Linked DNA regions of Drosophila melanogaster. The protein of the gene in region 3 interacts with the protein of the main gene of each other region in a pairwise test. Each region holds a gene or a part of one and is shown on either strand. Other genes may lie near its edges.

Region 1 (5,121 bases), on a different chromosome or scaffold from region 3:
CTGCATTTCCTGCATCTGCTTCGTTTCTTTTGTTGCACATATTTTCCATCTTTCTCCGCCTTTCACCTCCGAAGGAAATCACTCTGCTGACACACAGAGAAAACACAAGAAGAGATGGTAAATAATGATGGGAGGAGGATGGTAAGGAATGGAATGCAATGGAATCCCTCACTCAGGTAAAACCAACGATTTCCGTGGACCTTTCTGGACGAATCTTCCCTGAGGTCATGAGCGCCCATTTGTAAATTACTTTATGGTGCAATAAAAGTCGCTTGCCTGAATTGCCGACCGATTCCCAACGCAAAGTAACATCCTTAAACACACAGGATGATCCAGGGTCGTAAATCGTTTTCAAATCTCTCGGTTTAGCGGGAAGTAAATCGGCAGATTCTCCGGGTTATTTCATTCATTAACTGCATGTGTTTCAAGAAATCAGATTTGCCAAATGTTTATTTTTAGCCTGGAAGTCCATTTGCTGAGACTGTGAGGGTTTTTTGGGGCAATTAGTTGGTTTGGTGAGGCATCTTACGATTTTTACGAATTACACAAGCTCCATAACTTCTTTGTTCATTAACTTAATTGCCATACAAACAAACAGTTGGCTTCATGGAGATTTACATTTTCTTATAGAAAGAAGAAAGGGAGAGAAGCCAATGCATTTCTTCAAAATGCAAATGACATGTGGACACATAATAAGTTGTATTTAAATTAGTCTATATCTTACTTTGCATAGTTTCAAGTATCTTTTTGGTATTACACGATTTAGGCGCTCTGAAGTTTTATATGGGTAATAGCAACTGCCCCCAGACTAGTGTTTGTACCAATATGTGTATGGGTGTGTGTGCGCTGGGGCCGTGAGAAAATCTATGCGGCATACAGCTGGGCGCTCATATTCGGCAGCAGAGCGAAATGCAGACAAGTGGCAGTCCTCCCACAATCCTTGTGCGCCCATCTCTTTCCCACCTACTGCGCATTTTGGGGTAGGTGTGCCGCCACCCACTGAAATCGCCCCATTTGAAAGGCCCCAGTGGAAAGCGCGTTGAACTTTGAAGTTGTTCTTTGTTGGCTTTTTGCTTTGATTTTTGTTTCACTAATTTCTTTCTTTGCTGCCATGTTGCTGCAACAAAGGTTGCCGAAACCTCGGAGACGAAAGAGAACAGTGCGAAAGAGATGGAGAAGGTGGGAGAAAAGCTTTTGATGTGGGAATTATTGTCGACTGTTGCTTTTTGGTTTTCTTTTGTTCTCGCACTTACACAAGCGTACAAGATGAAACGATTTATTTTGTTTGCTTTTCTTTGTTCCCCTTCGCACACGCACACGCTTACTGGGAATTCGCAACACTTGTAGATTGTGCGTGCGTGCGTGTGTGGAGTTTTGCATGTTGCAAGTAACAGGCGCACGTGTTTTCCCAAGTCCGTTCGTTTGATTTTCTATTGAAAATGTGCAAACTTTGCTGGAGGTCAGTTCCTCTGACGGACTGACAATTTAGGCGGTCAGTTTAGCCCAAACTTCAAAGCCATACCCCCACTTTCTGGCCCAAAATCATTAGCCACTTGGTTGGACTGTGACTAAAACAGATGAAAACCGAGAGATTCGAGGTGAACGCTTGGCCTTCAAAAAGTTTAAAACGCAAAAGCCGAAGAAGAGGCCACCAGACGAAAAACTCAGCGAACCGGCGGAGAAACACACTAAAGTACTCAGCGCATATTGGCGGCCAAGGAAATAGGACTGCAAATTTATTAACCTGTGCTAAACTGTAGAATGTGATAACGTAACTCTACAGTGAATACTCGACCAGAGAAACTCTCTAACATTATACAAGTAAATTTATGCCGAAGAAATAATCCTTTTAGTTAAAAAAAAATCTTTGGTACCTTCTCCTCTCATACTGTGTTATATTATAGAGTTACTCTTTGAAAATGAAGATAAGAAATTCTTAAACCTTATAAATTGCAAGAAATAATATATTATAAGGTGTGCTATTGTTTCATCCGCCGCTGTGTGTGACAGAAAATAAATAAGCCAAATAATTGCGAATGGCTACAACAAAAGAAAGACTTGTGCTGTGTGCGCCAAAGTAAAATACTCCAAGTGTCTTAATAATACAAGTAGAATAATACAGGCAATCCCCTCCCGTGAAAAGTGAATTGATGTCCACAATTAAGTGCAAATAACAGTCGCTTAACAGAGGTGAATTCTGCGGCTAGCCGAGTTAGTAACCCCCAAAATAAACAGCAGACTTCCTCAAACGCAATGGTACTATACTTCCATTATTTTTTATCGGCGCTCCGCTGTTCCGGTTGTAATTAATCATCAATTTTTTGGGCGAAAAAGAAATTTTTCAAAGTTTAACGATCAAATGTAAACACAGACACACACACACACAAACGTTAAACGCGGCGAGGGCGAATTGGCGAGTCAACAACACAGCTTTGGAGCGAGCGAGGCGGGGAATATTTGGCCGCAGGGGCGAGCGAGATGGCGAGTGGAACCAAAGTTTCGCCGCCAAACTGTTCTTGGTGGTGGGTTTTGCTCTTCATGTCGGTATGGGAACAGTTGGGGTGTGGGGAACGTGGAGACCGAACGTTAAATTCAAAAATTGCGCCTGTCTGTGTCTCGGCACATGCGAGTGTATGGGTGCGTGTGGCCGGCCGGCGAAATGTTCGCGAAAAGTTATTATTCTCGCTTAGCTCGCCTTTTTTGTTTCAACTCACCGCATATTTGCTGAAGAATCCCTCATGTATGCCGCTCGAATAATCCTCTAGTTCGAACATGTTGAATCTTTTATGTTTTTAGCATGCACTTTGTTTTGATCGATGTTTCCGCCTGGCGAAGATTTCACCGGAATATCGTCCGCCTCTCTGCTTCTTACTGCCAATTCCAATTAACGGTTCTATTTCGAAACAGCGCACAAAAAATATATTCAGTCTCAACACCGTTGTTCCTTGGCAATCCAAGCCGTGATCTCTGCACTTTTCAAATTCTACTTCCAGCAAAAGGACATGGCGCTCGCGCTCAATATATCGCAGTTATCAGGAGCGCACAACACCGGTCTCGTATTCGAAGTCGCGGAGCAATGATAAAATAAACCCGCCCGGTCAGAATTCGAACGAAAAATGAGAGCGCCCGAGACTGGAGTGACCGTACCTCCGTTTTTGGAAAACGTTGACAATACACGGCACCGCAACCAGTGGCAGGTTGGGAGCTCGGGTAACCATTTAGCCGGGAAACGAACCCTGCGTGTAACGGCTTTTTAAAAGGTAACCTCACTGTTCGGCATTCTTTGTTATTAGGTATTCTTAATTATTTATATTTATATTTTTGCTTATAAAAGCAACTAAAATCAATTTTGAACTTTAAAAACAAAAACAATTAACGCAACGTGATACAAATTATTCGGCTTGATGTTCGATGTGATCTTTTCCAGCTTTTTGAATGTCATTACACTTTTTGGACTTGTGCTCCCTTGTCGACTTCTTTAGGCTTGGTTTCATATTTGGATTTGCCTAAAATTGGAATTTTATAAATACTAATATTATTAGTATCTGTATCTTCATTTTACATTATCGTTTGTCGCTGCTTCTGGAGTTTTGGAAGCCAGTAGTTTTTTATCCTTCTTTAATGTGCTTGTTTTCTAAATATATTATATATTTTATAATATTTTAATATATGCATATCTTTTGATATTTCTTACTTCATTTTCATTCGAATTTTGTGCCTGCAGTTGCTTCCCATCCTTCCTTTTTGTTCCTGTTTTCTAAATATTTTATATTTTGTAATGTTTGAACAAATATTTTTATATCTTTGGATATTTCTTACTTCATTTTCGATAGATTCTTGTGCGTCTAGAAGATTTGCAGCCACCTTGACACACTGACGTGCAGCCGGAAGTTTCTTCACATTTTTCTTGGGCACAGGAGGTCCTTCTTCATTCATTTCATTAGATGCTTGTTCCTCCAAAAGATTTGCAGCCGCGTCGGCGCACGGAAGTGCAGCCTGCAGTTTCTTAACATTCTTCTTGGGTGCAGGAGTTTCTTTGGACCTCGCTGCTTCTGTATTTTGGACTGTGGAACTCAATTTGGAATCCAGTTGCTTTCCATCCTTCCTTTGGGTTCCTGTGTTCTAAATATTTTATATTTTGTAATGTTTGAACAAATATTTATATATCTTTGGATATTTCTTACTTCATTTTCGTTAGGTTCTTGTGCGTCTAGAAGATTTGCAGCCACCTTGACACACTGACGTGCAGTCGGCAATTTCTTAACATTCTTCTTGGGCACAGGAGGTCCTTTGGTCCTCGAAGATTCTGCTAGGATGTTCTGGTCAGATAAGGTCAGCACTTGGTTCTGCTTCTTCGTAGCTGCACTGCGAGTAACCACCATTTTCGGTTCAAAGCTAACGTAGAAAATTCAAAAAATCAAGATAATGGAAATTTGGTGTAGATTCAAGCGAAGTGCAATAAGATGTGGGAATTTCAGTAAAAAGGTAAATAGGTTATTTGGTTAGTGGCGCGACACTAGACAACCAGGCTACTTCCAAACACGAAGTCACAAATTTAAAAATATCTGAAATATTTTTCCCAAAGATATATAACCACTTAATAAACTTATAATAACCACTTAAGTTCAGTCGCAGGAAATAAAGCCCTTAGCTTGCAGTTCATTTATTAAAAATTATAATATTATATATTATAATTATAAAAATTATATATATATATATAGTGACGTATTTGGGTGGTCCAAACCAGCCACTTCCATTATTTCAAAGAAATCAGTAATGCACTCTAGTAATTTTCCATAACGTATCCCAGCTGCGCAGCATTCGTTTATCTTTGGCAGCGCAGCCGTTCTTGTAAACATCCTAAAGCCTGACCTAAGCAGATTTGACTGCCCTCTTTCAACGCTACCTAATCTTAAGAACCCAAGAGCGAGGCTCTCCCGAAATACAAATATTGTTCAAATACTGAGGCTTCTCCTCAATCCAATTTGCATTTGATTTTTAGTCTTAAGCTGAGATCCAAAGAATAAAGTCGTGAAACTATTTCTCCTAAAACTATTTTTTATTTCTTGGCGTTGTCCTTAGTCAACTGACGGGACATTAGTTCGACTCATAAATAAAACA
Region 2 (6,782 bases), on a different chromosome or scaffold from region 3:
AGCAAAGGCCACGGCAGGTGGGAGCGTGCAAAACGTGGGCGTGGCAGATTGCGAACCAGATCCACGGTATTGCCAAACTTTTGGCTGTCAGGCGAGGAGAAAGTGCAAAGAGGTGAAAAAGCTTTTTGAATATGAATTTTTCCCCGCTTCACTCACTTATATATATATACATTAGTGTACAAGTAATGTGTATATGAGTTCAGAATGATATAGTTTCTTCATACTCACGCCACCGTCTCGTGATGATCGATGCTAAACAAAGCGGATAGTTCAATGAGCGGAGATCGCAATCTTAAATCTTGCTCAGCGGCCACGTAATCCAATTGGTGACCCAGCAGCCAGACCATCTCCTGGGCCCACGTCGATCCGGTTCGTGGATAGGACACCATCCATACGTCGTCCTGGTAAACGGGAAGCGATCGAATCGATTCGCCCAGCTCCACGTACTTTCTGGGAATGATAAACTGATCGGGGAGGACCTCAACAAAGCAATTTTGTACCGGAAAGACTGCATTAGTGCGTCGAAGTATGTCCTCCTCGAGTTCACGATAAATTAGCTGCATGGCTCCTGTATCTTTCAACTGCTTTGGCCAAATTACCAAAGCACAATGAAGTCAAAGTCAAGTCGAGTGGCAAGTGCAAGTGCAAGTTCAAACGAGGCACTGAAATGGGACTTTCCACCAACACGAACTGGTTTGTGCAGCAAAAAAAGCTCTTGTAAGGTGAATTAAGGCTTCAATAAGTTGCCTGAAACTAAGATCAGGTTTTTGAATAACTAAAATTCAAAATCATTAAAGTGAAAATCCTGAAAATTGTCTTATTGGTCTGATTATTTAAAGTGATCTCACTTAGCTAAGTTTGACTGTAGTTGGATGGCTTTTCTTTTGCGGTTCGTTGACTTCAAATAGATCGTAAAATCTGTAGACAACAACTATGATTAGAAATAGTTAGATAACCATCTCATGACCCTTATGACACAGTTTAAAATAAAAGGTTCTGTTTAAATTTAAATATATATTTCAATCCGTAATACTATATACACACGAAATCTTTATCTCAATTACAGCTAAATCGTCTTAATGAGCCTTCGTCTTCTACTTTTCTTGTCCGGATCTCGCTTGTCCATTTGCAACTGGAATACTACAACTCGTTGTGGATATATTCCGTGGTCACCTTGGCCTCGCCCTCGTGGAAACCATTGCAGTCGACTGGATATTTGGCCTGTTGGCGTGCAATCGCAGAAATATCGGTTAGAAAGCGGCGACAAATGGAAGTACAGAGAGAGAAAAATATATATGATTATTTACTCGTACAAAAAGAGTACCAAAAGAATACGTTCTACGTAACGCAGCATACTTTTAGTTATCTTTTATATCCCCTTAGAGATTTCATCATCTTCATGCTAGATGTATTCCATTTCTTTTCAGTGCATCACTGTGGCCGTTATTACTCACCTCGCAATTGTATGGCGCATTGATCACACCGAAGAGGGTCCAGAACGGCGTACCGGTTTCCGTGCTAATGAAGATTGCCGCACCCATGCTCCCGATCTTAACGATTTTCGGACTAACTCCGGCAATTAGACTGGACGCCGATGTCGGGCGATTCAGTTGGCTCTGCTTGGGCTGGTGGTGCTGCTGGTATTGGTCGTGCTGCCTCTGCTTCTCCTGCTGATCGAGAGCCGCTGCATTCAGCTGACAGAGCACGTAGCGATCGCATTGCGGCGACTTGGAGATGTATCTGTAGGCGCGATGGACTTTCAGCACCGGTTCAATAACCTGTTTGCCATTTGATCCATTGACGGATGCGTGGAGGAGAAAATAGTGGCGTAATTAATTTGATTTGCTTCAAACTAAGTGTTTAGTACATCTAACTGGGCCAAGTTATTCAATTATAACAAATTCATTTTACGTCGAAATGGGTCAAAGCATTTGCAAGAATCATATGGGATAAATTAGTTATAGTTTTCAATGATATAGTTCAGTAATGTAATCAGTTCCTATTAGCTCCTTTAGTACTTTATACTTTATACTTTAGCTACTATCAGCAACTTCAGTAAAGTAATCATACATATAAGGATCATATAGTACATAACTTTAAACAGAATTACTATTTAATTAGTGCTATTATTTTCACCTCAGCTATTTCCTATTCTCAGATATATATCTCCAATTACCAACTGCGTTGCCCAGTTCCCATATCAGTTAAGTTCAGAGTTCAGAGAATCTGCTTACCTCCAGGTTAAGCGTATCCGTTAGCTTGTCGCTGATCTCGGTGGCATTGAACTGAAGTAATCCGCGTGCCTGGCCAAGTTTTAGCAGTTCCTTGGCATAGCCCACGGCTGGCTTGACGTACTGCCTCGAATCGATCTTAACGTTCAGATGATGCTTGGCCACATGGTCCAAGAGATTCGAGATGGTCTCGCCCGGACGGGAGGGATCGAAGTGGGTCTGCTTGGGGTAACCTTGAGACTTCAGCAAGCCGTTAAACATGATCTGTGCCGTCTGGAAGTACCTGTATAAGAAAGTGCCGAGAAGCGGGCAAATTGATGAGTTTCAATCACGCAGCACCGCCGAGTGAAAGGGTCTCTAGAAAGTGGAAGTTGTTGTGCGCTTTTGTTGTTGTCTAACGTTGGGGGCAACGCAAAACAAAAACAAACAAAAAATAAGAAGACCAAGAAGTCTGAGAAGCCTGACCTACTTAAGAATCATGCAAAAATGTCTGAATCCAATGTGTACACAAAGAAAAATTGCTTAAATTAATGTTTTTCTGCTCGCTGCATGCTGATTTCTTATAATTCCCAAGTCGTTTTTCCTATGTGAAAAGTATTCATAGTTTTGGAGATTTGCTTAAGGAATACATATAATTAATACTTATACTATTGCATTTTAAATAACAGTTTCGATTGGTCATTATGAATTGAGAAGATTTGTAGATAAGAATTACTTGATTTTTCAGACATGTGTACCCGGTCTGCCAAGGCAATTTCCCCTGGCTAAAACCGCCAACCGGTTTTGGCCCGCTTTATTTATTTGTTTGTTTTAACGATGCCGTTGACTTCTGTATCTTCTGCATATCAACTGTAACTGTATCAGTGCCTGGACTTGGTACTTGCCACTGTTGTTGACCAGTTGGATTAGCAGGCACGTTCTAAAAGCAGCACCAGCACCGAAAAAAGTGGGTCAAAAGGTAGCCGCATCGAACATGCTCGATGGCCAAACGGGTTGTCGCTAACGGGAAATGGTTAGCACAGGCTTTGCCAGCAGCTGTTCGAAATCTGATTCTGAATTAGAATCGGAATGGGCATCGGATTTGGACTGGAAGGTGGTCTTGGAGTGTGACCAAGAATGGCAGCCAGGTGCTAAATGCACTGGGACCGTTGCAGAGCAGAACGTGATCCACAATTAACACGCTTTGGCCATCGCTGAAGATCGAGCCACGTTGGCCGGCCGAGACTCACCTGAGATACACCTCGGGATTGGCCAGGTAGCTGGCCCAGTCGGCCAGGTAGAGTGTGGCCGACTTGATCCAGCGGCGACGGAAGGATTGGTTATTCAGCGACTCGAAGAGCTTATCATAGTCCAGCTTGCCATCGGAACCCTTGAAGCCCTGGAGGTGGATAAGAGTAGAGTAATTAGCATTACAAATTGGTATTTAACATATTATTTTAGTAGCGTAACATTTCAGAATTTGAATTTGTATTTTAGCTAGGAAACAAATTTTAAATTGTTTTTTTTTCCGCTAATTGTTTCTATATCAATTTAAATGAGTATATATAGATTATTTTGTTTTAAAGATTTTCTCTACATTTTGTTTACGCATGTGTAGTCAAAATAGTTTACTCTTAATGTGTTCCTAAGGTCTTTAATATGTTGAATATTTTCCAATATTGTATTAAAAAGTGCTATATTTTATGCAAAAAGCGTACTAAAATCTAATAAAATGTTCTAACATCAAAACGTCAACAATATATAGTTAAGTCTGATTTATGCATCCACCTTCATGATTTTGTTAACTCCGGACTTCTCGTACAACGCATCAGCCAGCTCGGAGTTGGAGAAGTGATCCCACAGCACGTGAATGTGCTCCAGGAATGGGGGCAGCACCCAGGCGTGGCTCTTGTGCTTCTCCTGGGTGCTCTGACCCTCGGGACCGGCAAAGGAGCTAACCGCCTGCATGACCAGTGGCAGAAGGTTCATCAGTCCGTTCTCGGATTCCGGTTCCGTGGCGGTGGATCGCTTCTGCTGGTGATGATGTGTGGCCTTATCGTTGCCCTGGGTGTTCATGAAGGCGGATGCCACTTGCAGTATGGTATCCAGACCAATGCCAGATTCAGAGCCACCGCCATTGCTGCGCTTTTGCTGTGGAGTGGCTTCCTCGTCATCGCCCTGGGTGAACATCTCGAGGACATTGCCAATGATGGAGGGATCGAAGCCACCGCTCTGACCGCCCTGACTCTTGGACAGAAGACTGCCCAGGCCCGAGAGGATCTGCATGGCGCCACCAGCACCGCCGCCTCCTGCTCCGGCGCCTCCAGATTTGCCACTCGCTTGCATGAAGGTGCCAATTAGCGAGGCCACACCCGCCAAACCAGCACCGCCTCCTCCATTGTTGCCACCGTTCTGGTTGGACAGCGCCTCCTGGAAGAACATGGAGGCCATGTCCAGCAGCGGATTGGACTCATCCTCGCTGGCCATAGATGGACCCAGCGGCTGGAGGCACAGCAGGCAGGCCAAGAGCAGAGCTCGTCTCACGTACATTTTGCTTCAGGAACTTTCACAATCACACACTTGAGATACTTTTGGGCCAATTAAGCGACGCAGCCACAAAACGCGGAAGACGCTCCACTGAGCACACGAAATATATGTATGTATATACTATAACTATGTATATCTAAACAGATATTACAAAGATTGGAGAACGGAGAACGGAGATCGCAGCGTAGAGCAGCCAGCACAGCCGAAAACTTTCTTTCTTCTGCGGCTCTGGGCCAGTTTGTAACACTTCTTAAGCCAACGATTCTTTGGGGGCCATCGAACATGTTCGATGTGAGCGCTCTCTGGACTCCCCTTTCTTCGGATCCAAATCTCCAACTCTATTCGCCGCTCTCACCTGTTTCCAGACAGACTCTCTCTCGCGGAATGGAATTCTTTACGCCTGCGCTTTGAACACCACGTCAGGTTCGCCGTCTTCAGAAAAAAAAACGAGACAAAAGAGAGGGCGAAGAAAGAGCAGAAGAGCTTTGGTTTTTACAGAGAAAAAAAATTGTTATGCAAAGATCAGAACCGCTTATTGTGTTGGGATAGAGTTAAGTTAAATGTTTATATAGAGAGATCAAAATAACATATTAAGATAATCATAACACTTTCTCTATTATCAAAAGTAGTATCATTTTGTAGAGATCAAATAAAGAAATTATGGTTGCAACCTTTTTTTTTATGTGTACCCGGTTCTATGGCTCACACTTTGTTTATGTTTCCTACCTACCCACCTACTTTCTTTTTACACACGATTGTCCGCTTTGAAAGTTCTCTTCTCGGAATGGTGGTTGGTGGACATTGGCAGTCAGATTTGATGGCAACGCTTTCGTTAAAGCCGCCTGTTTGGGCTTTTTATGTAAATACGAGTATCAACACAACATTTGTGGCTCTTTATTTGGGTATACTATACTACAATGAAAAAGAACTGGTCTTGGAAAATTGAAAAATTAACATTAATTAAATTAAAACTACATTTTAAACCATATTTTTTCACAAATTAATTTTGTGTAAATGTTAAATCGTTTATAAACCTTTTCGATTGAATTCTCAATGCACACTATACCCATTTTCAATCTAAATAAAAGTTATATTAAATATTTAATAACATTGAATATCCGCTATATACAAGGGTATATATTGGTTTGCACCTTAAATTAAAGTTCTCATTTCAAGTTCTTTAAGCAACCCAATGAAATACTCGGCACATTTGTCACCTGGACTCTTGGTGGTGGGTTGATTTTGGCTCTCGTCATGGCCCATTTCGAATTTATTCAACAAACAGATTGCAGTGTGCCCGTTACATAAATTTATAATCAGTTTAATGGGTCCGTCATGCCGAACTAAAGAGGTGTATCTGTATCGATCTTGTTCACTTCTTTACTTTCTTCACGTTCTTCCAACTCCGAAGCAAGATGACCTTTCCCCATAAATTAGTTATTAGCATATTAAATAATTCGAATAGAGTTTCATTCTTATGTTTGTAAATTCAAAGTTATTGGAATAAACTCCACTCTAAAGTACTTGTCACATACAAAATTCGCGGCCTTTTTTAAATTGAATTATGTATTTGAACTCATACCATATTATCGATTGTTATTAGTTGGTGTGCGGTATATCGATGTTCCTTAATGAAATAAGTGTGTAAAATAAAATTTCAATTAGGAAATATTTAAATCCGCGATTTTTGAAAAAGTATTGCCAATATAAAAAATGATAAAATAATGTTGATAAAATGTTTAGGAAACTTAAAAAAAGAAGTGAATATGTTGGCCAGTGTACTTATCGATAACATCGATTGGTTTTCGCCACCAGCTGTTTGGCTGCGCAGAAAAGACGAAGACTTCGTTTTCTTGTTATTGTTGAATAAACTAACAAAATTACCTATAATTGCTGGCACTACAAAGTGCAATAGCAATCAGGATGGGCAATCAACTGGTGGGCATTGCCCCTTCGCAAATTTATGCGGTGGAACACTATTTTTCCGGCCAGTTTGGATCCGAGATCGCCTTCAGTTCCAAGTAA
Region 3 (5,803 bases):
GGATGGCGTAGTCGGGATGATTGCATGTTAATCCAGCTGCGATTTCTGCTGCCAAGTTGTCCAGCTCCTGGGTGGTCACGCCGCAGTACAGACCATTGATGACTTGCAGGGTGATAGTAACCTATAAAGATAAAGCATAATAACACATCAGGAAAACTTCCCAAATAATCTGCTGATAACTTATTACAAATGGTTTGTATATCTTGGGACTCCCACATGAGTTTCACCAGGGGCGCTCGCACATTCTGTTGCAGATAAAATCAAACCCCATCACATATAAATACGCATCATACTTACTAGGTTCGAGTGCAACCTGTGTGATGAGCACCTTTAAACAATAGAAACAAACTTACAGGATCAACAAAATCCATGTTCAAGTTGTAGCAAAGCTTCTGGATTCTTGAGGTTATTTTATCGAAGTGCACCTCCTCCTGCCTGCCATCTGAAATAAATATATTAAGAACAGTCATAGCGACAAGGAATTGTAACCCACCTCTCTTAATAACATATAACTTTGAGGTTTTCATGGACTTGTTCTTCAACATCTTGACTGCTATATTTCACAAGAGGCGGCAAATTGATTGTTGCAAGCACAAAAAGGCGCCAAATTAAAGTCATTATTAGTGTTACCGTGCGACATGTTGATCAAATGCCGCACTTTCAAAACGCCTAACTTTGAAACGATCAAGAAACAAAATTATTTCGAACCGTTCCACTCACATTTATATCATATTCTTAAAAAATATATCATTTTAGATAATCAAATAAATATATAAATAACTGCTTGTATCAATACACAGGTGTTTTATAAAAACAAATTTAGTTTAGTGTTAATATAAATAATTAGTTGTATTTTTTATTTATTTAGCTTTATATAATTACATAAATATAACAGTGTTTGAAGAACATTTGAGTATGTGTTTTATAAACGGTCTCGGTAGATTGTTATCAATTATACAAGAGATTATAATATTTGTAAACAAGTTGTTAATAAAATATGCAATTTCAAGTGTTTAATCTAAATGGCCGTGTCTAACTATTTTATTGACTTGCTGTCCAGATTGCTGTTGGAAAACACTAGAAAGAAATATTAACATTAATACACACAGTTAAAATAAGATAATATTTGTATACATACAAAAAGTTATTTATTTTTTCGAGATCGTGTAATATATCATCTTGGTCCGAATTCAAATCGTCTCGCTCCTTAAGGCTCTCCAGTAGTGTGACGTTTAGGTTTTCAATATATTCCTGGAGATTGTTGACCAATAGCTGGAGAGTCGGAACTTGGATTCCAGTGAGCAGCTGCCTCGAAATCCATCGATGGTTGGAGTTCATTTTGATGCCAACATCACACAGCATTGATCGAATTACGTCCACAATGGGAGTTACGCCATGTTTCCTTGCCTACAAATAGATAATTACAATTACATTTGAATAAAAAATAAATAAATCCTGTGGAAAACACACCTTTACTTTCATCTGAGCTATTTCCTTCGATTGAGCTAGTGCTATTCTAACCTCTATTTGAAGTTTTGATTGATTCGCAAAGAAAAACAAGTTTTCATCCGACGGATAATCTGTTGTACCAATGGGATTGCCATTCATATGATTCATGCTTTTATCTTGGTTGATTTGGTTCTTTTGAAAGATTTTATCGTTTTCAAATTCCTTATTGCGTTTCGTTTCACAGAATTCAGATTGCTTGCGAAGTACTCCACTTGATAGTTTTGGACACGTCTCAGAGTCGGAGCTATAACTTTCATTATCGGATCCGGTTAGAAATTCCTCCTTCTTAATGTCTAAATATAAAATATAATATTTAAGAAAATATAGTAATGAAAGAATATCTTTGGTCTTACCATTATTTAAAGAATCTTTATCTCCGATTGCCAATCTCTTGCGTATCTCATCTCGATTGAATCGCCGCTGTAATTGGAATATATATTTAATAAATGATATTATTATTCCGATTATATTGTACCTACCTTTTTCTCTATCTGTTTAACCTTTTTATAATGGTTTTGCAATGTTTCTACATCCATATCGTTTGCAATCTTGTACGCATCAAATTGTTCTATAAAAATTTAAATATTAATATACTCAAGAATCTATAACGATTAATTCATATTTGAAATTACCTAAAACCATGGTGGAGCATGGATCTTTGGAGTACTTGATGGGATCTTCCAAGTACTGAGACCAGCGCGATTGATTTGAGTACTTCCGACTAGCCACCTTGTTATTGTCCTCGTCCAGATTCTGCTGGCTTCCACTTCCACCGATTTCCAAGCTGCTCATGTTGGGTATTTCAGCCTGATTTAGGTTCGGACTATCGTTTTTGTTCTTTTCCGGAACGGACGAGTATTGGTCAGCATCACAAATGATATATTTTCGTTGGCTATACGTTTTGTAGTCGAACGTGTCCGGTGGCAATTGACGTTCGTCATGAGACGGCTTTGGATGCTTCGTTTTCACGATCTGATGTCCGTACGGTGTGTTCTTCTTTTTATTTTTTCGAGTACTATTCCCGGACAATCGCGTCGAGGATGTTTGCTTAAGAGCCTCCGTTCCATTTGATAGTTCTGCATCGCAAATCTGCAAGGTACAATTATGCTTTTACGTGCCTGATCTCTTTTATTTTAACTAACTACATACCTTATCTAAATTTGATCCCTTCAACTCATCCGCTTCCTTCTTGTTTTTATATCCAGTGAGAAGTAGCTCGAATTCACGTTCCACTTCTCCGCCAAAATCACCAACAATATCGATAGGACTTTGGCCTTGCAACTGCCCTTCGTATTTCGAATTAATTGTACATGACCAGGATGGAAACTCAGGATTGGTCGTATAATTCTGGCTTAGATTGTAGATAAGGTCAGGTTTTTGCAAAGCTCGCTTGGAGTTTTCCGACGTTGCACTATAGTTTTCATTTACAATATCCGGAATGTTTTCCGATCGGTTCACGCTTTCCTCTTCTGATATATATGTGTTTCCATTGTCGCAGTTACTTAAAATCGAATCTTGGCCATTCTTAAAGGTTTCCGAGCCCGATTCCTTGGCCATCTTACTTGGGAACGTTGGGTCATCTTCTCTATCGCTGTCGGTTAGATCGCTTTCATTGCACTCCATGTCGGAGTACTCTATGTAGTCATCGGAAAGGGTATGCGCGAACTTTTGAAATCCTGGGTAGTTGGGGTTGGTGATGCCCTTTGTTATATAGATATCCATTCTTGGCATGGGCATTGGAATAAGTTGTCTAGAAGAAATAAAAAAGTTTAGATGACTTAAATATTGATTACAACTACAGTGTATTAATAACATAACATAATTAAAACATAGTAAAAGCAATAAAATGGTTTTTTTCTTATTTCCTTTTACTTGCTAAAGGACACCACTATCTCCACTCCACTATTTTCTTTAGTTCAACTCATTATCGTATTTATAAATTACTTTAAGAGTCAATTTGGTATTTAACTTCATATGTGTTTAGATGTTACATTGTCCTTAACAACACATGAATGAACTGACATTTTGTATATTCTTAAAATCGAGAAACAAGAATCAAGCCGAAAAAAGTTGGTGTAGGTGCAAATTTTTGTAACAGAAATATCTGAAGATAGTCAAAGTTACTTGCAATTATAATTTCTTGTATTTGCTTTATTTAAACGATTGTTTCGACTGTTAACAACTAAAATGTATTCCGTTTGTTTAAAATGTTAATTATTGAATCAATGAAGACTTACAAGGACTTCGGCCTTCCTGCATTCAGATGTAAAAATTACTCCCACACATATAAAGCAAATTACACGTTTGACGCATGCGCAAATCTTGGTATATAGTGTTGTTAACAATACTAAATATTATTACAAATAATTTAATTTACTAAGGAACAAAAAATTTATTAATTATTTATTATTTTTTTATATGCAAAAACTGAGAAAACAACTTAAAAATCGAAACTGAAAATGTCTCTGAGTTTTACCATGGCACAAAATTTTCTTTTAATGTAAACTTATATTATTATTATTTAAGGAATAGGCTTAAAACTTTTTGCTATGTTTTTTTCAAAGTTCTTAAAAAATCCCAATCCCAACAATTTATGAATACCTCTGATTAAATTTTTTGCACTCAGTATTTTTCTCATTTTGAGATATGGTAACACTTAAGCACAATGTGATTTAAAAAACCATAACATTGTATATAAAAGTAATAGAAATCCAAACACAACTAGAAAAATGAAATAACCGTAGACCTAACTAATAAGTGAATAATAATGATATTATTCAAAGGAATTCGGCGGGTGCAATCCCAGCTAAGAACGCCGGTTGATTTGGTGCTCATTCGGGTGAGGTTCTTGGCCATTACGCAACAAACCACTATAACAAACTATAACTTTCCAATAATTTTCAGTACTCCACTGCAGCAACGATAGCTTCCCAAGATGACAAAGGTGTCACTACAGCGTCGCCAGTATCCCAGGCGGGAAAGGTCCAGCATTTACCCGATAGTCAAATTACCTGGATGCCTAGTCCGTACACCATGCCCGGAAAAACTCTTAGCCAGTACAAGAAGCTATCCAAGTTCCGGCTGACATGTAAGCGAGATGGTTAAACATTGGCCAAGCATCGACCATAGTTGTCTTTCGTTGCAGCGCTGGTGGTCATTACAACGATGGGCGGCTATGCCATGGCGCCAGCTGCTTTCGATCCCACAACGTTTGCGATGTGCACCCTGGGCACAGGACTCGTTTCGGCTGCGGCGAATGCCATTAATCAGTATCACGAAGTTCCTTTCGATTCGCAGATGTCGAGGACAAAGAACCGGGTGCTCGTCACGGGGCAAATGACACCACTGCATGCAGTTACCTTCGCCGCGGTGTCGGCAACTGCCGGCTTAAGTATGCTGTATTTCGGAGTAAATGGATTGACGGCGGCGCTGGGAGCGGGTAACCTGTTCCTCTACACCACGATATACACACCGATGAAGCGTATCAGCATAGTCAATACCTGGGTGGGATCGATAGTGGGCGCCATTCCTCCGCTGATGGGATGGGCTGGTTGTGCAGCCACCCTGGACGCCGGCGCCATGATCCTAGCCGGAGTGCTGTACGCGTGGCAGTTCCCGCACTTCAACGCTCTGTCGTGGAACCTCCGGCCGGATTATTCACGTGCCGGCTACCGAATGATGGCCGTTACCAATCCGGGTCTTTGTCGCCGCACTGCGCTGCGATATTCGGTGGCTATTGTCGGACTTTCAGCCATGGCACCCGTACTGGACGTCACGAACTACTGGTTTGCCTTGGAAACACTACCTCTGAACGCGTACTTCGCCTACCTTGGTAAATATACTCATTAACCATGGAATCCTATATGTTATGTCTAATACGTTCTGTTTGCTTGCAGCGTACAAGTTTCATGAAAAGTCAGATAGTGGGAGCTCGCGGAAGCTGTTCCGATTTTCACTGATACACCTGCCCGCCCTGATGCTGCTATTTCTGACCAATAAGAAGGAATGGTATTTCAGCAAACCCGCCGGTGAGGAGAACAAAAAGGAGTCCACGTACAGTGCGATAAAGCATTCTGCTAGCAGTCTTGGTAATGTCCTGCCCGTCGCCGTAGCCGAAGGACCCAGATAGAAATATTAACATTAATTTGATAAAATGTTAAGTATCGTGTGAAATTTAAATATACTTAGTGTTCTGCAACTTGTAAAAACAGTCATTTAATATTAAGGAAACACGTACCCCTGTGCGGCAAATATATGTTGCGCCTAATAAATGACACGACATCCTTGAAAAATA

Evidence for each region.
Region 1: the proteins of Schip1 (region 3) and jumu interact in a two-hybrid assay, tested with the Drosophila melanogaster proteins (one large-scale study listed by BioGRID).
Region 2: the proteins of Schip1 (region 3) and CG8420 interact in a two-hybrid assay, tested with the Drosophila melanogaster proteins (one large-scale study listed by BioGRID).

The regions. Positions count from the first base shown.
Region 1 is NT_033777.3:10,348,181-10,353,301, reverse strand, and holds the start of jumu (jumeau), read right to left. Parts: upstream 3,121-5,121; 5' UTR 2,775-3,120; coding exon 2,715-2,774; intron 1-2,714. Other genes in the region: CG31406 (uncharacterized protein), read right to left, coding at 3,393-3,506, 3,563-3,634, 3,695-3,757, 3,820-4,122, 4,185-4,382.
Region 2 is NT_033777.3:9,245,652-9,252,433, reverse strand, and holds CG8420 (uncharacterized protein), read right to left. Parts: upstream 4,986-6,782; 5' UTR 4,761-4,985; coding exon 3,999-4,760; intron 3,610-3,998; coding exon 3,461-3,609; intron 2,515-3,460; coding exon 2,235-2,514; intron 1,779-2,234; coding exon 1,455-1,778; intron 1,222-1,454; coding exon 1,141-1,221; 3' UTR 1,003-1,140; downstream 1-1,002. Other genes in the region: St2 (sulfotransferase 2), read right to left, coding at 1-84, 229-563; Vps15 (vacuolar protein sorting 15), read left to right, coding at 6,681-6,778.
Region 3 is NT_033779.5:10,327,334-10,333,136, forward strand, and holds Schip1 (schwannomin interacting protein 1), read right to left. Parts: upstream 3,784-5,803; 5' UTR 3,747-3,783; intron 3,260-3,746; 5' UTR 3,247-3,259; coding exon 2,659-3,246; intron 2,599-2,658; coding exon 2,142-2,598; intron 2,078-2,141; coding exon 1,989-2,077; intron 1,930-1,988; coding exon 1,863-1,929; intron 1,803-1,862; coding exon 1,471-1,802; intron 1,408-1,470; coding exon 1,139-1,407; intron 1,078-1,138; coding exon 1,014-1,077; 3' UTR 867-1,013; downstream 1-866. Other genes in the region: RnrL (ribonucleoside diphosphate reductase large subunit), read right to left, coding at 1-121, 354-442, 494-545; Cox10 (cytochrome c oxidase assembly factor 10), read left to right, coding at 4,277-4,348, 4,414-4,597, 4,655-5,341, 5,406-5,638. UniProt on the Drosophila melanogaster protein: Regulator of the Hippo/SWH (Sav/Wts/Hpo) signaling pathway, a signaling pathway that plays a pivotal role in organ size control and tumor suppression by restricting proliferation and promoting apoptosis.